Oreochromis niloticus: one gene and its partner. The protein of the gene in region 1 binds, or shares a complex with, the protein of each later gene. Links are inferred from orthologs where the notes say so. Each region holds a gene or a part of one and is shown on either strand. Other genes may lie near its edges. The genes, in order: atp2b1a and nptnb.

Region 1 (12,656 bases):
GGGTCCATGTGCAGGTCCCTGAGGAATCATAGATAGGGCAGTCTTGTACATAAAAACAGCAGGATAGTTTTTAGACAGAATCTATGCAAGCAAAAGAATAGTTTCATTAGAATAGCTGTTAAAAAAATATATACATCACGCATGCATGTCGCAAACGTTGCTAGTTTGAGAAAAGTAACGCAGGAGCAGGCTTTGATTTTTCTAATAGACCAGTCTAAGAGCTGCTAAATATGATACTGCGCCTTTCCAGAAATTAGTGCTATGTATTGATTTTTGTTTTGATTGCTCCTGCCTTTAATGAGTTTGCTAAGCCAATGAGCTGCTAACCATAGCTCCTTCTTTACAAAAGTGAGTTGTATCTAAGTTGTCCAACTCAAGCTGTTGCTTAAAAATTATGGAAAATTCACTCTAGTCCCTGGAAAGTCTCAGACACACATACTGTATGTGTACTGCTTCTCTGTCCTTTGAAAGTCGAAGCAATAGCCTAACCTAGGACAAGGTGTGCACTTGTGTGTCCATCTGTAGTGTGTGTGCACAAATGCTAGGATTCCTGTGCACCAAGAAATTTAGGACCTAGTCTATAACCCTCCCTGTCCTGGTCCTTGTGCCTTTCCCAGAGGAAAAGCCCCCCCATGTGAAAGGGAAGAAATAGGGTGTAAAGGGCACCAAGTTCCCATTGGATCTCCTCCTCTGTGCCCCATCTGTGCCCAGTCAGTGCCACTCTGATTTGGACATTGCAAAAAGCTGTGTGTCATCTTAAGGAAACAAGCTCTTTCAATGCGCCCCTCTCTTGCTCTCTGCGCATTCAGTGGGTTAAGCAAAAAAATCTGATGTGGCCCTGTAATTAAGTTGCCATTAATTGTTTTGCCGGGTCCCTGGTGGCACTGCTCAGACTTTAGGGGAAGAGAAAAGCAGATTTGCTGATGAGCTCCACGCCTAGCTGAACAACTGAGCGCAGTAAAAACGATTCTTAATTACCGCCTGTTGCCACTAATTTACCCAAAGTCACCTCTGCCAGCATGTTAACTAGCCCTTGCTGTCTAGCTGTGCTTAAAAACTCGGGTTTGTTCCCTTTTTTGTTTAATTTATTTCTTATTTTGAGACTGAAACACACACAGTCAGTTTAATTCTGCAATATTTTTGTCCTGTATGTTTTGTTTTCCACTTGCGTTCCAGTGTTTTCCATGAGCACTGGAAAAGTCTAAATGTGGGCTCTCAGGTAGTTTGTGTGCCTTGGCGGTAATGGAATAAACACTATTTATATGCCCTACATTTTATGACATGTAAAATGTTCACTGGCCTGAATGAAACACGCTTTCTAGCTTGACCACTAGCTGGGCCAAATGTAAATACAGAAGATATCAACAGAAATCAGAGCATGGAAAGCATGCTCCCCCTCCCGCCCCCTCCCGCAACCACACCAACACACCCTTCTATGGCTCGCCATCACACGTTCAAGTTTATATGGTGATGGCATACTATAACCATACACAGACTCTTCCACTCACACAACCTAATTTTGCATTGGGTGGGTCGCTGTCCTTACAAAGTCTGGCCTCAATGGGCACTTGAGGTGAATTATTGTTTGCGAGTGGAAACTTGGCCAGATAATCTCAGTGCTGCTGGCTCAGGGCTGAGTAAGACCACTGTCTCCTTCCCTACGCACACACGGGGCACACACAGCTTTTGTTTTACCATCTCTATTTCCAGTTCACACTTATTTGCTGACTCTTCGCCTTTTACAATAGCTCCTTGTCTATGTACTTTTGCTCCATCTTTCTCTTCCTTTTCTATGACCTCTGCTTCTCCTCCTGCTCTCTCTCTCCACTACTCTTTTTCCCAGAAAACTCTGGCCTTTATCCCACAGGCCATTCACCTCTCTGTGGCCGTCCTTGCCAGTGCCATGCAGTAAATTCCTGGGGTAGCTGGAAACACAAACATGCACAAACCTAAGGCAAGCAGCTCAATCAAGACAGACCCCTCCATAGCACCACTTCACCTACCACCACCTTTCCTTTCTCAGTTTTCCTTCGCACAAGGGGTCTTTGTCAGTAAGACTGCTCCACAAGGTCTCTCTTTAGATCTTCTCTTCAGCATTTGTCTGCACCATAGGTATAATTCATGTGTCTGTGTCTCGGCTGTTTTGCCAGTCAGCAGAGTTTGAATGTTAATCTTATAATTGGGGTCTCCTTTAGCAGACATTAACCAATGTTTGGACTCAGGATTTCAGGAAAAATGTGATTACAGTGATTATGGCAGACTAATGATGTGTTAGATAAGAAAGGTTTGTTATTACCCGGTGCAACAGCCATCCCTAATATCAACTTTGTCTGATTAATATAGCTCTTGTCCGTTTTGAATAATGGGTCTAAGCAGTCTGTTACAGTGCAACCTTATAACACTAAAACCAACTTTATTTGACATATTAACATCATATAAAGTGAGATTTATGTATAAATGCTTAGAAAGTGGACTTCTGATTAATTTGCAATTGGAAAATTCTTACACGTCAGCATCTGTGATCGACAGTCTTTCTCTCAAGTATGGAACACTGTTTTTCCTCTTCCTCTTCAAAAGAAGGAAGTCACTCCCCACACCTCTATGTCTAACGCTTTGCCAATGTGCTGAGCCAGTGGAAAATGAGATGTCCGCTCAAGAAACAAAGTGGTGTAGATAGATTGGCTGACCAAAGGAAGCAATATTCATACAGCATGTCCTGACTGATAGGGACCCGGCTATGTACGTCTGCTAATGAGACATCTTCATGTTCACATTTTCCACTTGCCTCGCCTCAAGAGGCACATGATCTGCTGGTGCAACACAGGCATTTCCACCGCAGTCATGTGTTTATTTAGAAAAGTGTTTAGGAATTAACTGATAATCTTTCTGTGGCTTCTGTTTTCCATTCCCTTTGGCTTTTTTCTTTGTGCAAATGTCTTAATCAGTTCAGAGTCGTGTGTTGTCTGAAAATGTGATAAGCTGCAGAGTCGGCAACAACGTTCCTCGCACAACAGCAGACACATTCATACAGTGCCGGTTGCTAGACGCTTTTCAAACCGAACCTGCAATTATTTGTCAAGCTATCTTGTCTCATGGTGTGTAGAACAGTACCCCAGTAATTAAAGCTCTATGTTGGGATGAACGAATAATCACGCTTACCAAAGCTGTGTTGCTTAACTTTTTTGCCTCCCCTGACTATCCACCTCAATGCGACCATGTGTTTACCTTTAACCTAAATTATTAAATGAGGTTCTGTTTTGAGTATTTTTGCAACACATGCAAAAGTTACCCTGAAGGCAACATCCCCTTTTTGAGTGCATTTTGGCATGTTTCATCATTATTGCTTACTCAGACAGCATGAACAAGACATTAGCATGCACAAAGGCTAATGACACTTGACATTTACTGTAGTTCACGAGATGCTCCAGAGCATATGGCAAATTTCCACCAAGAAACTGAGTCAATAGAGAGATTCAGACAACAGCTGTGGGGAAAATGATTGGTCTCCTCAATTTGAAAACTCAACATGGCTCTCAGAGAGTCCCGCTATTTGCATAGATGCAATTTCCTTGAGTATTAAAAACCAGGAGGAGTTCTGCAGTGGTTTGGTTTCTGGCGTTCGTAGACACACACGTGGTCATTTCCACTCAATTTTCAGGGCTAAACAATTCACTTTTGCCATTAACAACCTGCATCTAGATTGTTTCCCATACAACTAAAAGGCCCTTGGTGCGAGTCTTCATCATATTGCTCACTTCTGTGGTCCATAAGTGTTTAAATGGATTGAAAGATTAAGTGGTTTCAAGTGAACAAGCACGGAGTGATGGTACGAGGCAGAATTCCAATTTATTTTCTGTCAGCTTTAGAAAAGACATTACAAACATCATTAACAGCTTAGAAAGAAATTGTTATCATGGAAAAAGCTTTGTTTTTTACTGATGTTTTGTAATGAATTCTAATGGTTTACAGTTAAAATATGCATGCATGCTTTATGTTCCATTATTCACAAAGGGTTGCCACAGCATGTAAGCTCTGTGTGTTTTATTTGGCTGATTTTTATGCCAGATGCCCTTCCAAAAGGATTTGTGTTTCCTCCCAGGATGAAACCGAAGATCTTTCTTGTGAAGTGAATATGTAAACCACTACACTCTATGTGCTGTGCTTATACACATTAAGGTTAACAGTGAAATGAAAGGTTCACAGTTGATTAGCACAAAAACAGGAAGCAGGAAGTAAAGAGCTGTCCCCTCTAAAGATTCTTTCATGCATTTTTGTACAAACTGAACAATATCTAAAACTTAATTTGTGATCTTTCAGATTCATTTGCTACCCCTGAAATGAGCCAGACTGAACAACATGAATAAAGATACCCCACTAAATCTTCAACTTTCCTCCAGAGCAGGCCAGCTGATCTACAGTCCTCATGTATTTTTGATGTTGATTGTAAAGATCCATTATGAATCTATATTTGCATTCCTACCATTACCTTAAGTGTGTCCTCTGGTTCAGATAAAGAAGAAGGGCTGATGCACAGACTGATGGACTGAAAAAGAGAGAAAGAGATGCCCTTGGGGGTCAGTGAATAACCTAACATCTGCTCTGGGTTGACCAACACAAAGCACTGCAGGCTGCCACTTAGGAAGCCACCAAAACCACTGACAGTGAACTGCAAAAATGGCAGACGTAAAAATAGATCTTGTCGCTGCTTTGGCACTATAGGGTTTAAAGGCCTGTGGAGCAAAGTCTGTGTGCCAAAGCTTGTTCAGATGAGGCCCGTGTTACTGCTGGGCGTACAGGGGAAAAAACATCAGCATCTAAGCACTGCTGCAGCTGCAGCTGCAGTTCTAAAGTTTTAGAGCAGAAACCTGACAGCTCACAATGTGCGAAGGGAGTGTGGGAGCTTCTGCAGCTTCTGCGAACAACGTTTTTTTGGGGTTTTTTTTTTTTGCCTATCTATGCATTTTGACTGATTGTTCCTCATTCTGCTTTAGACTGAGCCATTAAAGTCAAATCACAAAGACATAAGGCCAAATGATTGCACAAATCATCTTACATAAATCAAGTTGGGGTTTTTTTCCCCCTACTTCTTCTCTTCCTCTTTCTTTCCAAATCTCTTTTCTCCGCTTGACGTCTGTCTGACTCGGAAATTCTGAAATGATATTTTCCAACTTTTAATTTGCATACAAGCCTAAACACGTTGGACCTTTCTGAAGAGGCAGCTGCTGCCGTGCACTCAAGGCACTCGTGTTAATGATAAATCCCATTATGTCCAGACAGCAAGTGTATTACACTGAGTTTTGACCCTGGCCATGGTTATTTTCTGTTTATGATCTACCACAACTAATCTTTCTTTTTTTTCTATTTTTTTTTAATTGTCAAATAGCAGTTTCTCTACCTGACTTGGTTTGTGCAAAGTTCAGATGGATTTTGCAAGAACCACCTTGTCTAAATTCTGGATCACAGACTTTCTAATTCCAATTAACACCTTGCATTCTATGTTGCATAAAAAACATAAATTACAACATATTAGACAATTACAGGGGACTTGTGCTGCAATATATTGCAGTACCAAAACGCTGTTGAATTTCTGTCACATCGGTGTAATGGCTCACATTGGAATGCAGTGCTGTTTGCATTTCATTGACAGCTGCCCCCAGTAATAAGGAGGCTGATTGTGCAGAGTGTGTGACTCCCCGAGAGTACTAAAGGAATCGCAAAGAATACAGGCATTGAATCTGGTGAAGAGAGAGAGAAAAAAAACGCACTACGTCATGGAAAGAATAACGTCAGGTTTGATTAGGCGTCGAGGGGAAGAGCGTCGTGCAGCCTAGGTGGGGCTGAGTCGCCCGGACAGCAAAACCGATGCATTTTCGTTGCCTACTGTCTGCAGGCTGCATCATATGATGGGGGGGCTGTTGAATAATCCTGTTATTATAAAGCTACACGGGAGCAAAGAAGGAGTACTAGGGGATCATGACGTAACCGTTTCCATAGGCGACTGATATGCTGGCTAAGCCAATGGGAATCCACACCAGCGGTCCATACCCATCCTCCTTTTGACGTGCATCACATGTCCCCGGCGGTGTTGTGACAGAAATGAAAAAGGCGAGGCGAAATGGTTCAGCCCCGTGCACTTCCGCTATCGTCGAGTTCCACTTTTACAACGTTATCTTTTGGCCGGTTGTCTCTCACGATATGCCCGATATCGCTTCAGCTTGATTTTAGCATTTTAAAATCATAGAGAAGCAACAATACAGCTGTGAGACACGCACCTTTTATCGTGTTGCATTAAAAATCAAATAGGTGGTCTTGGTCTGCATCTCTTCTGTGATTAAACATAAAGAGATTATGTATATTCATCAGTCAGCCACGTGAGTTTCGGCAACATTATACCGCTTTTCCACCGCACGCATGTGTCATATGATTTCCGGTCAAACTGACATGGGTTTCCATGAGCTCGAGGGAGATAGGAACTATCTTGGCAGTGTGAGGTTTGCAGGCTTTGGTTGTGGTTGTGACAGCGCAGTGGGCGGGATTATACCTCAGATCAGGGGAGAGAGTCTAGTCTTTGGTGAGACTGAGGGGGAGTTAAAGAGAGAAAGGGAGCTGGGGTGCTCTTCAGAGGACGGAGTAAGTATTATTTTACTTATATTTTTCTCTATTAGCGCGGCAAAATGCCACACAATAATTGATCTTTCCAAGTGATTTTGGATGTTGCATGCAACCCCATAACCGGTTAAGGTCTTCTTTTTTTGTGTGCACTGATCAACGAGGGCCAACCACTGTGGGTCGCTTGCCTTGGGTAGTTAGCTGTATACCAAGCTAATGTTAGCTATCTTGGAGGGATACTGACATGGGGCGGTTCGTTTTCCAACACAGGTATCTAATCAGCCCGGGATGCTGCCAGATTTCATACGCTTGTGCTTAGTTTGCTTGGGACTTCTGCGTGGCTCATGGTTAAGTTTTTAGACTTGTCAGTCTGTTGGAAGTATCTTTTGTGAATTTCCCCTCTTTGCAGTCAGCATAAGCTAACGCATTAGTGCTAGTTGGCTAACCGTGTACGCTAGTCAGGACCGCTCTTATTTTTTAATAACATATCTGCTGGGCTGCACATTGACGTTTCGACTTGGTCGCTCCTCGCGGAGTCCCGCTGTTAAATAACACTTCAACTATGGACCTTCATATCTTTAAAAGAAAGTTGTCTGCATTGCATGTTACATGGTGATATGTCATTCAGCTTGTCTAACGCCTCGCAGTTCCCGTTTTATATGCAGATACATAACGTTAGTGGAGTAATACTACAAAACGGCCTGGAACTATATTCCGCGAGCGCTGGGAGTCCACGCGCTGCGGTTGCTCAACACACTCAACACGGGCAACTCGGGGAACCCATAAAACCGCATTAGTCATTTCGGCTCTCTGTCACCACAGTAAAGGTGTTTTGAATCGTCGTTTATTGACTAACATCATTTTTAGGGGCTGTCATTTGCTGGTGTCGAATTCTGTTGTCCAACACTTAATTTGTACCGTATTCTGAAGACAATAATTTGACCGCAACTAGTAGGGTTTTAATCTCAAGCCCCAATCTCCTAACCTCCTCGAAACAATTACGAGAAACCCATTTGAGCAAGTATGGCTGTTTACCACTCTTAAATGTCCCGGTATGGCAAAACTGTCAGGTTATTTCCGAACTAAGGCGGAAAAAAACTGCCACTTTTAGTCCGTAACGCTACTGAAAGAACAACGCTTATTTCATACTTGCACTGCAACAGAAACTCACAGACTGACTGCAGCTCGTCTCTTTAAATTACCTTCCACTTGCCCGTAATGTATCTCGTATTTCTTAGGGCTTCCAGGTACTGCAAGATGATTACGTACGTTAACGTTACACTCTTAATCTTGATTGACGACGTAATATAGATTGGTGCACTCAGACATTACCTGCAGTATCCAGGTCGATGTGGAGTGCAGCCACAGAGCACCTTTTGGTGTCTAGTTGAAGGGATCACTCCTTATCCAATTAAATAGCACCCAGCTTGCTGCAGCGCCAGCAGTGTCTTCCAGTGTTTGTATAATGACTTGTGATTCTACAGTGGATTGCAGGTATTATTGTAGTTGTATGAAAAGACGCTGAACTCGGTGACACAGAGCGTGCTAGTCACCTGGAGTAGTCATCTGTACTCTGGTCTTGTTAAATAATATAATGACAGATAAGCAATTACACGGATTTTATAATCACAATATCTTGCCGCACAATATTGTATTAGCTGCAATGACACTTGCTGTGATTCAGTTTGGAGATATGTTTGAATTTTCTAGCTAATACTGCATTAGAAGTCTATTTTCCAGGTTTAGCAGTGAGTAATGCTTCATCGTAACTGCCTAGCGCAGCATATAGAAATTGAGTTTGTTTAATGATTCACTTAAATCATCAGTAACACAATCTGTTGCTGTGTCTGAGCCCTTTGAACTCAGACTGTTGCTGTCACTCAAGAATGACAAAAATATCTTTTCTTATTCCTTGCTGTGCCACCCTTTTTTCTAATGGCTGATTATAGACATTACTCCTCTCCTTGAGTGACTAATATGAGTCAGTAGTTATTTGAATATTTTTTTTTTTTATTCTTTTGAAAAATTGTTATATTGCAGAGGGAAGATCACTTGACCTTTGTGGCTCATTAGTTCGTTTGTAGAAAATCAACCTTTCAAGACTACACCTCTACGTCCTTTTCAGCAGTGCATGTTTTTTTTTTTTTCTCATTTGCTGTGCTGAAGAATGTTGTTCTCACCAATCTTACATGGTCCTTGCTGCTGAGATAAGTGCTTATTTTCGAGTACTTACAAAGGTATAGCCACTGTGAAGTAATTCGTCATATCTGGTATACTTTCTTCCAGGCAGTTGTCGCCTGCCAAATCTGTTCCTAACTCATCATGGATGAGTTCCTCTTACAGCTGCTGGTTCACATGTTCACGTATTTCATTGTCATGCTCTGCACTGCAGACAACTACAAGCCCAACATTAAGAAAAATTACTAACAATTGTCCTTAGTGTACTCTGTAATTCTTCAAGTTTAATGTTTATAATTGCTAGTTTAAAGCATTATTTCACTGAGGTGACCACTGCAGGTCATTAATCTAAGGTGGCGTTAAGCCTCATGTAAACCAGCATGGAAAGCTAAATATAGTGTGGTTTTGAACCACGAAGTGTCATGTATTCATGGTAACATTTACCAATGATGGCATTTTACTTATCTTTCTTACTGTGTGTGGATTGTAAGGTCAAGATTATTTCAAGCAGGGGTTTTAGGTTACAGGGTCTTTTAGTCATTCATTACTACTCGTTCATTTAAATCTTGTCTAACTTGGCACGAGAAACAAATTACACAGGTGTGACTACCAGTTATATGCTTCAGTTTTTAGTTGCAGGAGATCAAATGTACTATAATTGAAGATTGGCAAAAGTTATTATATACTGGGATTGTGCCTAATTAAAATAATTGCAAGGCACGTGCTACAAAATAGCCCTGAAGACTGTCAGAAGGTCTAAATATGCTACCAGTCAGTCTGACGGACATTTATGTTTGTTTTGGCATCTCTACAACATGGTGGGCTCTGTGGCTTGACGTGGCAATGATTAAAGGGACATTTTTAAAGTGGGCTAGATGATTTAACTGTAATATTATTATTATTATTTGTTCATTTGAACTTCAGCGTCATTGAGCTTATATAATAGAAGCATACTTCCAGACCCCAGCTTCTCTCATCGTAAAGCATTGCTGGTTGTCTTGGATGTTATCACTTGTGGCATACAGTATACAGTCCTGCTCTGGTGTAATCTTCTCTACACATTCAAACTGCCATTGTAGCATGCTCTGAAAAATCTTGCAACATTAGTACAGTGGAGGAGGGCCAGTAATATCATATGGTGGAGGCAATAGGAGAGCAATTCCTGCCTAATCAAGTCAGAGCAGTGTATTCGTGGGAAACAATAGCTCCCTGAAAGACCACTTTGAGTTGATTTGTAATATTTTTGATTTGAATCAAATGAAATCATGTGGATCATGAAATCATTTGTCTGTTCCTCGAAGCTTCAAAACTTTCTTTCTAGTATACATTTTCACTTGGGCTATTTATTAACAGTTACAGCAAGTGGTTTCGTCATAATGAATGCAGAACACATGCATGACGTATTAAACCATAGCAATGCATTCTGTACTACAGGTTTGGGGTTTCTTCGGGGGGGGGGGGGTTGTGAAATATATAATCCACAAGTCAACAACTGTACATCCTAAAACTGAAATGATGGCAACAGCAATTTCAGACTGCAGCAGATAATGATGGGACAGCAGGACCCCAGGCCACCGATCTGGTCTGTGGAATCGCACATAACCAAGAACACAGAAAGCCTCTGATCTTCAAAGTGCCTCAATGAAAGATGCCTCATTTTGGAACATTTTGCATAGATGTGCATAGGATTGAAAAGCTCAATAAAATCATACCTCCTGGTTTGCATTAACATCTTTGACAGGAGGAAATTAGTAGAACAGAATAAAATTTTTATATTCATGTATAGTACCCCCCCCCCCCCCCCCCCCCCCCCCAATTTTTTTATTTCATTTTATTTTATTTTATTATTATTTTTTTAACAGTGGGGGGTAAGAATACAACTTTAACAACAGGATAGTCTTCCAGCACTCAAAAATACTCATGTGCTCAGTTTTACTTGTTTAAATGCCCAGCTCCCCCCTCATTTATGCATGTAAAAACAATTATTTTTGACATGCTCTATATAAGTTAATATAAACAGTTTTGAGGAACCGGTTAGTCTTCATGTGCCTAGATGGCCACTATGTACTAAATTTTATAACTTGTCTGTTCTGTTGTTATGTAAGAGGTTAAAACCCTGTCTATAGCAATGTGCTTCACCTGCATTGCTTTTGTAAGACAGCGTCAAACTATTTGTTGGTAAATTTAAGATATTACTGCGTGTGCATTTCAAATTCGTACTGCTTGTTGTATAGCAAATTCTTTTTGTTGGCACAAAGGTTCAAAAAGAAAAGTACAACCTGTTCCTTAAAAGGTTTGAAAAGTAAATGCTAAGCGTGAAAGTAAAACTTTAATTGCTTAAAAAGTGGTGAAAAGTCTTAACACTAATCAGATCTTTTGCCAACAGGTTTGTAAAATGATTGGATATAAAAACCCAGAGAGGCTTTTAGAAGTAAACACAGACAGGCGTTAAAATCATTGTAAAAGATTGCATTGGCAAATAGTTCATTGGTTTAAAATGAATATTTTTCAACATTCAGTTGCAAAAAAAAAAAAAAGATTTCATCATTTATGAAGCATAATACCATAAAAAGACTGAGAAATCTCTGTAGAAATCTCTGTATGCAACACACAGTCTTAAAACCAACACTGAACGGTGGTAAAATTTGTGACCTTGGGCAGTAGTGCCTTATAATTGTACACAGGTAAGGGACATTCACACCTCGGAATGAATCCACAAATGTTTAATTGAAACTCTACCAGGTGGGGGGTTAAAAAATGTGTATAGCCAAGGTGTAATGGGCTAAGGCAAAACAGAAATCTGTGCTGTGGTATGATAAATGAAAATGTTAAATTATTTTTGGAAATATTGACATTTTTACCTTTCAGAATAAAGAAGAGGGCACAGACTGGCTTGTTATCAGTACAAAGTTTTACATACTGCACCAGAATTTTGGGGTTTTGTTTTTTTTGGGGGAAACCATGTTGTCCCAAAAAAACAATTTACATCTGCTTACCTACAAGACAGAACACATGAAGAAAAAAAATGTACAAAGACTATATTTATTAATATTAGAGCACAAATAAACATTTTTAAAATAACGCGGTAGTTTTAAAGTGCCCATAAATTGATCTATAAATATAATATGATAGACAGTGACTACATATATAAAGATTTTATTCCTATTTATCCAGCATCCTTAGTTCTTGGAGGAAAAGATGATGGTTTACTTTCATTTCAAATGCTGTTGCGTGTCCTTCCATACATGCAGTAAAAGGAGCTGGAGAGGAAAAGCGTGTTGACGGTGATATCTCTGACTGTGCGTTCTCATGAACTGGCAGCCTGACAGCGTTTGAGAGCTATGTAGAGGTTCCAGTCGGTGGGATGAAGTAGCACTCTCAGCTGCAAGCCACGCAGCACAAGGATGGCTGGGTGTCTCTGCTTTGTACCCTCCACATTTACATGGCCTGACCCAGTTCGGCAATGGCTAGCAGTGGGGGGAGGGGACAGTGTAGGGGAAGCTAAAAATATCACCTCTCGCATTAGGCAGCTCCATTGCAGAGGGATCCCTAGAATTGCTATCTTTGACTTGCATCAAGTTGTTGGCACATAAAGGTATTCAAATTGCCAGAGGGTTTCCTTAACATGGAAACAAAGACATAAGTATATTTATGACACATCCATCACCATTATCCTGTCTACTTGTTCTCACTTGCTGCAGCCTTCTTTGTAGGGGATTCATTGTGACTGTAGTTTTGAATAGCCTTGTGATGTGCAGGTCTGTAATTCTTGGGTTAAACCAGCACACATCCACCCTGAGTTATCGGTCTGCTACTGTAGCTTGGAAAGGGTTAACTCTGGCCTCTGTCATTCAGCCATACCATGCCAG
Region 2 (12,505 bases), on another chromosome or scaffold:
AAAGTAATTGTTTAATAAAAAAGAAGATTATAATGAGCTTTCTTCCAACCTTTAGAATTAAAATGCACTGGACCTGCATTCTGATCAGTTTCTGCTGGCTCTGCCCAACGTTGGTTCATGCTGGGAAAGTGCTTGTTTTTCCAGTGGATGGGAGCCACTGGGTAAATATGAATGTCATTATTCAGCAACTACATCTAAGGGGCCACCAGGTTTCTGTTGTGCGTTCAACAGACAGCTGGTACATCAAGGAATCCTCCCCATTCTATACTTCAATTACGCTCGATATGGAATCAGGGTTTGATGAAGACTTTTTAACAGCATTTATTGCGGAACTGTTGGACATCCAGAGGGGAGGGATGTCTGTCTGGAAACGCTTTAAACTGGAAATGGAACAAGCAAAAAAAGCCTCTGAAATGCAAAAGAAACAAAGCAAATTGATTGAAGGGCTTTTTGAAAACAAAGAGCTCATACAGTCACTAAAGGATGCAGAATATGATCTTGTTCTGACAGATCCTACCACACCAACAGGTGCCATACTTGCCCAATACCTCAAGTTGCCTCTTGTTTTTAATGTTAGATGGACTAGTCAGGGTGAAGGCCATTTTTCAATTGCACCATCTCCTCTCTCTTATGTTCCCATGGTAGGGACTGAGCTATCTGATAAAATGAGCTTTTTTGAGAGGCTGCTAAATGTCCTAATTTTTGGTTTCGCAGAATATCAGATTGCCCAGTATTTGCTACCACATTATGAGAACCTCATTGAAAAATATTTTGGTCCAGACACAGACTACTTCTCCATGTTTCAAGCTGACCTGTGGCTAATGAGAGTGGATTTTGTGTTCGAGTTTCCTCGCCCCACCATGCCTAATGTTATCTATATGGGAGGGTTCCAGTGCAAACCAGCAAAACCGCTTCCACAACATTTGGAGGACTTTGTGCAGAGTTCTGGAGAACATGGTGTGATCCTCATGTCTCTGGGAACTTTGATTGGAGAACTACCCCCTGACTTAGCTGAAGCGATCGCTGCAGCTTTTGCAAAATTACCCCAGAAAGTCATTTGGCGGTATAAAGGTGACAGGCCAGGCACTCTGGGTAACAACACTTTGCTGGTGGACTGGATGCTACAGAGTGACCTATTAGGGCATCCTAAAATAAAACTTTTTGTGGCTCATGGGGGAACAAATGGTGTTCAAGAAGCTATTTATCATGGAGTCCCTATTTTAGGACTTCCTCTGGTTTTTGATCAACATGATAATTTATTTCGAATCAAAGAAAGAGGAGCAGGGAAAGTCATAGATGTTTTTACTATGAATGAAGACATTTTCTTTCAAGGTATTATGGAAGTCCTGAATGATCCCTCCTACAGGATGAACATGCAGAGACTTTCCAGGCTGCACAGAGATCAGCCAATAAAGCCACTGGACAATGCCCTCTTCTGGATAGAGTTCGTCATGAGACACAAAGGTGCAGCTCACTTAAGAACTGAATCCTACAAACTGCCCTGGTATTCCTACCACTCTGTAGATGTGATACTTTTCTTAGCTGCAGTTGTGCTGGTTATTCTGGGCACCTTTGCTGTCTTAATAAAACGCCTATGCTCTATGTGCCCGAGGACAAAGCGTCAACGTGATTAAAAAGAAATAAAATGGCAATTAATGTAAAACTTTAAACACGTAAATCATAAAATGTTGTATTGTCTTGTGGTACTGTGATTTGATGGGGAAAAGAAAAAGAAGATACAAATAATTAATTCTTTTAAAATTGTGCATTTTATTAGTAAAGAAATAACATAGTTAAGGCTGACCATATTTGATTAAGTGTATTTCACAGTACTTTAAATTATATCCTGTCAGTATATTTCAGTGTCTTTTAGAATTTATAGCACTTTGATATACTGTACTGTATGTAAAGTCAAACTAGTCTATATGGATTTTACTTTAACCCTTAAGTGAAACAAACAATACAGTTGTTGTCACTGTAGAATGAAAGAAAAGTGTGACCAAAGCATATTTGTACTGTTCATTAATTTCTGTGCTGTGGAGAATCTGCTCTCATTTTCATCTAATCATCTGGCTTTACGAGTTTAGTGACTCCATGTGACTTCACTGTTCAGCTATCTTTGAAAGGTTCTCTTAATTGCAATGTTTTTCCCTGCTGCGGTCTGGAATCCTATGCACACTATAACTATTACTAAAGGGAATATCTGGAAATTCACGCATGCATCCATTTTCTGAACATGGATGCATGTTAAGAAAATCATCACTTCAAGTTCAAGGGATGTTGGAGCCTATCCTAGTTTACATATTGTGAAGGCAGGGTACACCCTTGACAAGTCACCAGCCCATCATAGGGTAAGCGCTTAGAGACAAACAACCTTGCAATCACATCTATTGCCAATTTAATCACCAATTAACCTAACAAGCATGACTTTGGATCATGGGAGGAAGCTGCACCTAGAGGAAGCCCACACAGGCTCAGAGGAGAACATGCAAACTATGCACAGAAAGGCCCCAGTGAACCAGAAAAGTTCTTGCAGTACTAACCAGTGCATTACTGCACTGCCCTGGTAGGTGAGGTTTCATAACAAACAGCTATACCACTTGCCATTTTATCACTGAAATTACTAGAAGTTACAAACCATTCATCCTGTGTAAGCCAAATTTACCACTCGTTTCAACAAAAATAAGACAGAAAGAAATGAAGTAGTTTGAGATTCCTAGTTGTGGGACTACATTAGTTGGCCAATGAATATGACATCCTGCTGTGTCTAAGAGTGAGGGGAGTGGATTAGATAAAGCCAACAACGTCCTCAGGGCCAAACGGGAAGTTTTGAATAAGCCATCCCTCAGGATGAACATGTTACATTTTCAACACTTAATAGGTTTAAGTGCCACTTGGGGAACATTTTAAAGTGAAAGAAAATACAATTCAGAGCTAAACTACTGCTATTACCATCAGCTTTGTGAGACCCGGTAAAGATCTTCACGCTGCAGAGGTGCACCAGTCTTTAGGATAGCAATTTTCCAATTGCTTAATTATTCATTAAATTTGACTAAAGTCCTAAAGAGTAATTTTACAAGAGCATTTTTTAATTCAAATAATATATTTTATCTAGCACTACATAATTTGTGTAACGCAAGCTCGAGAGATGCTACGTTTTGTTTTCAAGAGCCGATCAAACTGAAAGACAACTCAAATTCTCAAGACCGCAGGTTTATAAGGGCTATGACAAATGACCATATAGAGTATTTTACTTCAATAAATAAATTTTTTATTACAAAAAGATTAAAAAACATACAGAAAGTATTGTTATAGAAAGAATGTCAATGGTAAACAGGTGAAACATTAAGAATTTCACTTAAGTCTGAATTTTTACTGTTACCAAAAAGTAAACATAACGGGGGTCTAACATCTTTGGCTACAGGAGGGAAAACAAGAAGTGAAGTTTCAGTTTAGAGAAGTGAAATTTTCACATTCTTCTTTTAGCAATCACACATTAAAAAAACAATAGTACAAGTCAACTAATATTAGTCGGATCAATATTAGCTGCCTGGTGGATTTCACTTGTGTCAAGATAAAAACACAAACAAAAAAAATTAAAAAACTTGATTACATGACAAAGTGAAATATCACTTTTAAGGGCAAAAACAAACATGCTAAAAATTAAATGCACATATGTGTGCAGTAAAATAATACTGGGGTTAAGAGCTAGTTAGCTAAGGACAAAAATTCAAAAAACAAAGAGATGTTTTACTGAAAGTAATGGTGCTTAACAGTTTCTCTTCTTGCTGGCTCCTGCCTTGTGCTGCTTGTCATGAAGTAGTCTAATAAAAAAGATGAATCAGCTGAATTGGCGATCGATGTACTAATCCATTACTTTATGTAGCTTTCACAGACAAGACACGAAAAGAGAACCATATTTCTCAAAACACACCACAAAGTTTAGGTAAAACAAACAAACAAAAAACCCTCACATTACATTACAGGACAATAAGAGTTTTCACTAATATTGATATTATATGCATATTTATGAGGCTTCATTTGGCAGCATCAGTGGCTATTCAAAAGGCACTGTATATCCCGCTTCCATGAGGAAAATACTCAAATGGTACATCAGTTACAAAAACTTATAGTAAATGTCTGTTCCAAGTATTTACAAGTATCCGTGCCAGCAGGGCAGGTGTGGTGGGCGGTGTGTGTCCCCTCAAGATGTCCGGGTCCTTAGAGAGCTCATCCTGAGCACAGTGAGCTCAGCTACATTTGCATCCTGCATCTCCACCTCTTGTTGGCAGCTTTCTCTGATTACATACACTATGAGACCCACACAGATGAAAATGAGGAGGACTATGCCTATAACCTAGGGTACAGAGGAGCACCACTTTGTTTAGTAAATATCAACATAAAAGGCATCATGTTGGTCAATAATGTCTATTAACAGAGCTATAAAATTTTTCACAGATGTAACAGCAATGAATATGTTCTATAGAGTGCATACTCAGAGATAAGTGCTTTCATTGTGTTCATCATACACAGTGGTTTATTAACAAAAAAGTAATCTACTCACCTGAGAAAACACAAACAGCTGTTGTGAGCGGAGCATTAGTTCTTGTGTGGTGACATCTCCCTCTCTAATTGGCTCACACCATTTCTGTGGAGCTGCCTTGTCAACTAGTACAAATCTACCCTCCCAGTCTGTCATAGCACAAGCAAAGTATTGGCCATCGAGGAACAATAAAATCAGCCACACGATAGCGGGAACAAAACTGGAGAGGGACACAGTTTTCCTGCACCACATATCACATCTGCATCCTTGAATGATTAGCATCAAAGTGAAGGCCATGACGGCAGGAATGATGAAGAATGCTGATGAAAACAATCCGTTCCATTTAGGACTGCAAGGACACTCAAACTCCAGCTCCACCAGCTTCTCTAGTCCCATGAGGATAAAGCCAAAAGCCACATTTGATACCAGAGGACTGTTACTAAGTTCATTTTTCAGCCTGGTAAGCCATTGTTGTCTACTTTCCATACTAGATTGACCAAAGAATGAAGACAGTCGTTGTAAAAAACCCAAAAGAGGATCCTCCGTTGTGAACACATTGGCAACAGCTAAGTGATGCGTAATTAACGCATCCAGGGGTAAGTTTTCCCCTCGGGCAAAATGCCACACTTCCACTCTGATTGGTTTTGAACAAAAGAGGGTGTGCCGTCTGCTCTGACATTTCTCTAGCTGATTGGGCTTTGTGAAGTTTCAGGTGGGGTTACTTTTTAAATGTGGTCTTCCATGGACAAACTGGAGGGAGGGCTGTAAAGTGGAGGGAAGTTTGTTCTGCAATTGAGCAAAGATTGGCATTTTCCAGCAAAAAACACATGTAGGGGTAGCCATATATCCAAAGGCAGGCTTTTACATTGAAGAATCAACTTGCAATCCCCAATTCACACTGCAACAAAACTAAAAGGAAGGGATTTCAAAATGAAAATCATAATCATCTAAAAAAAGGACACATAATTTACCACACATAGCTACAGTTGTTAATGCTTGAAGTACTCAAGCGTTTCCCCCATTTGCTACAAGTGTTTGGAATTACAAAAATGGATGCAAGTTGACACTTTTCTCTTTACCTCTACTGACCACGGGAGGTCGCCCATGCAGCGGGACAGCGCAGATTAAGGATAGAAGAGGATTACAGGAGGCCATGTTGAACTTTCAAGGGGATGTGGTACATACAGCTCCAGAGCACCCAGGCTAGGGATGTGATGACATAATTTATAAATGACCTCAGTGGGCTCAAGAGCATCACCATAATCTCCTCACGTTAAAACCTGACAGTATTTAGGCGCAATGAATAAAGGTCAGGAAAAACACCACTGATGAAAACTAAATTGCTTTCAGCTGATCTTCATATACAACTCAACTTATTTATAAAAAATTAATCATTCATACTCGTGTTATGGCAAGCACTTGACTACTGACCTGCCACTTTATAGGAGACGTTAATTTTGAAAGAGTTGTGGAACGGAGTTAGGGAATCATTTAGATTCAGACTGTAAAACAGTTATAGAAATAACTCTGAGAGGGACAAACATCCATTTCTAATGAGACACTATGAACATGAGCACCTGTCATCTCATAGAAATAATAATAATAATAGTAATGAACTGTAATGCCTAAAGAGGCACGTAATTACTGTCTGAGTTGCCAACACCATCAATTAGCTACATAGGATGTGATTTTGTGTATTCGTTCACGGTCATAAGCGCACTGGGCACGCGCAGCCTGTCGTTACTGCCGTCGGTGTCCTACCAGCATCTGTTCCTCTTTTGGTATTAAAAATAGACCGGTGCTGATAACAGACTTATGTTTCGACTGCATCATTTGCCGTCGGGAATCTTTTGTGCGCTACTTTCATTTTAATCACCGAGCCGTGACCGCGAGAGCGCAAATGCGCATCGGTCTGCGCATCTTTGAATCTTCAGAACCACACTGTGGACAATCTCCCTGACATCCAAAGACCTGTCCCCCGCAATCCTACGAGGCTTCTTCGCCGTTTATGGCCGCACATCGGCATCCCTGAGCCGCCGGCCTCGTTCCGGACTTTTCACTCATCGCTGCTCTCAAAAGCTCTCAGAATCAGGGAGACATTTCTACACCAAATTGAAACCTTCCTCGGCTGGCTATTTTTAAAGAACCCGGTGCAATGCTGGGCCCGTCTCTCTAGATCTTGTGATCACTAGCCTGCACGATCTCTCCTCCCACATTCGTCCGATCAAGACCCCGGTACTCTGATCGAGCCCCAACAATGCATCGTAACGCAGTGATGCTGGCGGTGGTCCTTTTGGGGAACTTGATGCTACCTTTCATCTCTGCTCAAAACGGTAAGCAAACAGCTGTGACCATGACATTACTGTTACCATCGCATTGAGGGAAAGTGACTTGGCTTGTGTGAGGACGCGGAGGGAATTGTTTCTGAAGAGGATTTTGAGACCGCGTTAAAGCCATAGTTTCACACCAAGACTGCAATTAGACAGTAACATATATAATTTACTTACTGCCCACGTTAGCAAATACAAACACGACTGTGTTGACTGCATTGACTTTTCTACAGTGTTATTTATTGCTGTATTGAGTTTTGTTGGCGTGTTTGTAGGATTTAATTTACTGTCGCAGATTATGCTGTGGAACACTACCATTTTTTTTTTTTTTTACTAAAGTCTAAGATTTACAGTTTACCTTCACTACCCACATGAGATAGTAACCTAAAGCTGTCAGTGTTAAGTTTGTTTAGTCAAAGGAGGGGGGCGGGGGGGGGGTGTAGTAAGAGTATGTCAGGCAAGACTAACCTGCTTTGGATGCTGATCAAGTGACATTGTCAGCAGCAAACACGGGCAAAAGATTCACCTGATGTGTCTTGTAAACACTGCAAATACCAGGCCCTTCAGTGTCAAAGATGTGACTGAGCTTCTGCTTGACTGAAACTGTTCTGTGTTGTTCCACATTTTTTTTGCCATGCCAGCATAAATGATCATTTCTTGCGCAAATAATTCTGTCTGTGGGAAATTCTATAGTAAAACAAATAACAGTCCCTTTTTTTAAACATCAGATCTCCTACCAGATAGCCACAGTAAAAATAAATAAATAAAAGTATTTGGCTGATAAGTATCATTTATGAAGAGATGAAAGGATACTTATTTGGCAGTTTAAAAAAAAAATCAGTGTCTGTTAATCATAATAAAACTAGCATGACTTGGTTTAAACAAATGTCAGCAACATGCTGTTGGGTGTTCCAGGCTGTCGTCCTCTGATGCAGCATGTCCTGACTCCAAATTCTGTTGAATCACATCACCCAGAGGGTCTCACATATCAGCAGCCATTCATGAAATCAAAGTGGAATCTTCTGAGTCTTTATATTTTTAATGTTTAAGTATTTCTTTAGTAAGCGTGATTATGAAGACAGCAGTAAGATGATATACTTCTGGAAACAAAGTGTTTAATCTCATAACTGATTCTTTTACAAATCTGATGTAGCCACATGTCAGAACCCACGTGCTCACAAACGAGTGACACTTAATCTGCTATCACAGAAAACTGTGGCAGAGAATTATGATGCATACTCATAATTTTAATGCTTAGTGTCCACCTCGGCTTTGCTGCGGGGGATAATCGAACACCCACTATGCAAGAATTAATATAACATGTGTTTAGATGGTTGTTTGAGAACACTGTGAAAATTCCAGCTCTGTGGTTGCTAATTTTGCAAGTACTTCAGATCGAACGTTTTCAACATTAGCTTAGTCTAATCAACATGGGAATAACAGCTTGCACTAGTTTTATATAATACAAACAACAAAAATGCTAAAATAAATAAAGCGCCGCAACAAAAATCTTGATAGTTTAAAAAAGTGCAAAAACAACCTATGTTTATTTAGCTTGGGGCAGACAGGAGACTCAAATACCAACATAGTTATATTACAAAATTATTACTTGAATTCTTGTGTTTCTTCATTGTTAATTTCTTTGAAGTGCCTGAAGTGTGTGTGCATACTGTGAGGCATTCTCTCATCTTGCTATCTGGAAAATCAAATACACAATAATCCCTCTATTGTTTGACAAAGCTCAAGTAATGGCTTTCCAGACACTTCCTCTGGTCTCTGCCCAGTTTTATTGCCCACTCACTGAGGTCCAGTTCACACTACAGAAACACTCACACACACAATAACATCCAGTGGTCAGTGAGAGGCAGAGCTATGCCACTCAGGCTGTCTGTTTCATCTGTATTATGTAGAAATCACAGGTTTGGTAAGAGCAGTGATAAACTACTGTTAATACCAAAGGTAATATTTGCTCACATTGCATGCAAAAGCCATTTAATTTCTCTCACACAGTTCAGATTTAGGGTAATCGGTGCATGGCTTCTTATGCAATCCGAAATTTTCCTGTGATATTACAGAGTTCAGACAGTGATGTGGGGACAATAATAATTATAAGTGCATGAGATGTAATCACTGTATCTAGGAAGCAGAGGGAATTCAAGTCATTTCCACATTCCCTGGGAAAAGTAGGCCCATATAGGTGCACAGTTTCTGTGACAGAAATTTGGAGGGACTGTAAATAGCATCCGTCCATTCTGCCTCGTTTCTATTTTTACCACCGAGACACAGCACTGAGAACTGTGGCTTTAAGGTCCTTTTGTGAAAGTGAATCCATTAACTCTTAATGGATGGCCTCCTTGTGCACAGCTGCCCGGCCCTCTAAAGAATCACTAGGTGGCTGTGGACTATTTAAGCTGAGAGATGATGTGATCTTGATGCAAAGAAGGTACTGGCTGTTGAGAAGGTAACTAGAGCTGACCTAAGGAAATGCCTTTGCCTCTTACATAATTTCCCCCTACGAATCACGCAGCCTACTCTTTTTTTTTTTGTTTTTGCATCATCTGTGTTTGCATGAATCAAAACGTGGAGAAGGCATACTAAGATATTTTAAATAATGAGCTGATATTATTACTTACATGTTCAAATGTAACCACTGTTGTCTGTCATTGAGGGGCTCAGTTAAGACTGAGCATATATGGCATCGAAGATGGCTTCTTCTTTGGGGTTTACTATCTACGTACAAAGATAGGAAAGCTGACAAGCCACACCTAAATGCATTCCAACATGTAAGCAACAACCCCCTCAAAAAATGTAATAATAGTTTTCTTTGTCAATAAGTGACCTTCTTTTTCTGCTTTATGTCATTTAGGCATTATCTTCATCTGAAGCAAACAAAGCATTTTAAGATGGTTCATTTGTGAGTCTGGAATATATGCTGTGGGACCGAAGCCAAACTCGTACACTGAGTCATGCCTGCCCACTGTGAAATCTGATATGGCCTGTACTGATTAGGAGCACCATTGCACTTTATTAAACACATTGCAGGCATACAAAATAATGATGCACATCTGTAACACACACTGTGATTTATATATATATATATATATATATATATATATATATATATATATATATATATAAACAAACCTATATATATTTTACAGTGATTTGTCTTCAGGATGTTTTTGCTGAGCAAACACATTGCTTTTTGTTTTGTTTTGTTTTTTTTAGTACCACCCTGCTGTGCATTCAGATTCACTCCTGGAATTTCTGCAGTTTAGCTTCTGGCCTCTGATACTTACTGTTCTCATAGCTGGGAACAACCTCAGCTATGAGTGCTGCACAAGGACTCAGGGTCAGAGAGAATATTCAATTAGGATGTTACTTTGATTTATGTGGAGCCAAAATTTCTAATGGGCATGTGTTTTTCAAGTGATATAGCACAACAGAAAGCCTATTAGCTGATTTTCAGCTCACATTTATCATGACAGTAACAAAAATAATGATAAAAATAACTAATAGTTCTAACTAAAAGTACAGTAGGAGACTTGGGAATAGCATTTGTCACCTTGTGTGGTAGACAGTACTTTGAGCACACTAGTGTAGTTCTTATTTCTGGAATTATTGTATTGTTACATCAAATAATTTGAATTCCCTTGCTTTCACTTTTGAGCAGAAGTAGGAAGTGTTTAGTGGTTTTATGGGATTAAAGAATTTTTACCCCCACACAAGGTTTATTGGGATTTAAATCTCATTAAACTGTTGCCTCTCGTCTGTGATCTCAATATCAGATTCAAGTCTTACCAGTAGAACTGAAATGGTGAGCCTCAGGCCTCCCTTTTCTGAAAACTTAGCTTGCAAGTTTTAATTACAATTATATGTGAGTCGGAAAACATGTATTCTATAACTTGTATACTTTTTACTCAGAAATATGTGAACACTGAAAGAATTTTATTAGCATTTATACATCTTTTTATTCCAGATGTTAGTACTGACCCTCTAGTAGTTATATACATTTCATGCATATATTCATTTTGGCATATATTAATATTTTAGAGACTCTGAACCTTTAGTGAAGTGGTTTTAAGAGTAATTCTGTTTACTATACTGAGGGTTAATTAAAGTTTTAATGACCTCAGTGAAAAATACATTCATAAAACCGATCCCATATGTGTGTGGAGTCCTCAAATGTAAAGACACTGTTGCTGATCTAGGCATATGGATCTTATGCAATATCATGAGTCCATCTGCTAAGCTGTTATTAATGTTGTATCTACAGCAGTCAAGAATAGCCTCTGTGCTGCAAATGTTAGTACCAGGGGATACTATCATTATCAGCTTTTAAAATAAAACAGACTACAAGGCATTTCTTTGCTCCACTGAACTTAGTTGAAGTGTTGAAATATGCACCAACGTGAACTGATGACTTAATTTCAATTGGGGCATGAATGGGATACTTCCCATTTGCCTTGTTAAATGATTTATTCTAAATAGTAACTTTATCTAAATATGCACAAACTTGTATTTGATTTTTTTTAAAATATATTTCTCCATTGCTTATGCTCCATGTTGCGTCCTGCACTTTATTTTAGCTCTGCATTTTACAAAATAGTTTTTTCATTCATCCTACTAGATACCCAAAGCACATAGAAGCTCTTACTTAAGCCTAATCTGATGATCTCTGATGATTGCCTACAGAATTTGCTTGACAAATAGATTCCTGATCTTCCTCACTTGTTTTGTGGCACCTGTGAGGGCAGAACATGTTACAGTTTTATGATTATTTTTGATATTTGGAGATTGGTGACCTTAGTTCACTCCGAGGACGGCTAAGCCTCAATTCACCCTGAAATGATATCTAAATTTTCTTTAACAACTGGTGTATAGATGATATATTCACACAGTTTTTTAAAATTAAAAAGTGAAAATCAAAATAAGTTATAATGTGACAAACCCAAGAAGTTTACTGAACTTTAAAAATCCCCTTTTAGGCCACTACTGTGAAAGTTTTCAAGTATAACAAAGGTAATATATATATGTATATATATACATATATATATATATATATACATATATATATATATATGTATATATATACATATATATATATATATATAGATATGTGTACATTTGTCACAGCATCAAGCATATAAAACAAAGATGCTCTCACATTCACAAACTTAAACACTTGCGAATACACACACGCACACACACACATTGTACATAACTGGTTCATTGGCCCTAGGGGGTTTCCTACCCTGTGCTTTCTCTGTCTGTGTTGTGGGACTGTGGACGGGGATCCAGGTTGTAGGCAGGCAGCTGACTCACTCTCAGGCTGCATGGCTGCATGGCGGTGGTGTGGGGCTTGTTGTCAGTTCTCAGGGGAGCTTTCTTCTCTACCTGCATGAAAAGAGCATGTAGGCTTTAATAACTGTGACTTCCATTCAGCTTTAGACAGAGCGTGTTACAGACGACTGTAGGTTATTTTGTGATAGTACTGTACAAATATCAAATGGAGGTTAAATAAGATAAAACATTTAAGTGGGACCATAACACTGTAGTTCTATGACATGAAGGATTTCATTATTTTTTAGTTTGGGATCATTTAAACCATGCTATCATATAATATTTTGAC

Evidence for each region.
Region 2: the proteins of atp2b1a (region 1) and nptnb are in contact, whole or in part, in a cryo-EM structure (PDB 6A69), measured with the Homo sapiens proteins. The link is inferred for Oreochromis niloticus from reciprocal best matches to the Homo sapiens genes ATP2B1 and NPTN. Residues at the interface, in NP_001353449.1 of Homo sapiens: Phe954, Asp955, Ile956, Asp957, Glu996, Arg997, Asn998, Val999, Glu1039, Gln1040, Leu1042, Trp1043, Ile1045, Phe1046, Met1049, Gly1050, Leu1052, Leu1053, Gln1056; in NP_036560.1 of Homo sapiens: Arg245, Ser246, Asn248, Arg332, Arg334, Pro339, Pro342, Phe343, Gly345, Ile346, Glu349, Ile350, Ile352, Leu353, Ile356, Ile357, Tyr360.

What each region holds. Positions count from the first base shown.
Region 1 is NC_031981.2:11,775,947-11,788,602, reverse strand, and holds the start of atp2b1a (plasma membrane calcium-transporting ATPase 1), read left to right. Parts: upstream 1-6,472; 5' UTR 6,473-6,630; intron 6,631-12,656. UniProt on the Homo sapiens protein: Catalyzes the hydrolysis of ATP coupled with the transport of calcium from the cytoplasm to the extracellular space thereby maintaining intracellular calcium homeostasis.
Region 2 is NC_031965.2:29,767,651-29,780,155, forward strand, and holds the start of nptnb (neuroplastin), read left to right. Parts: upstream 1-6,335; 5' UTR 6,336-6,800; coding exon 6,801-6,876; intron 6,877-12,505. Other genes in the region: UDP-glucuronosyltransferase 2B17, read left to right, coding at 56-1,634; calcium homeostasis modulator protein 6, read right to left, coding at 4,205-4,357, 4,565-5,029. UniProt on the Homo sapiens protein: Probable homophilic and heterophilic cell adhesion molecule involved in long term potentiation at hippocampal excitatory synapses through activation of p38MAPK. May also regulate neurite outgrowth by activating the FGFR1 signaling pathway.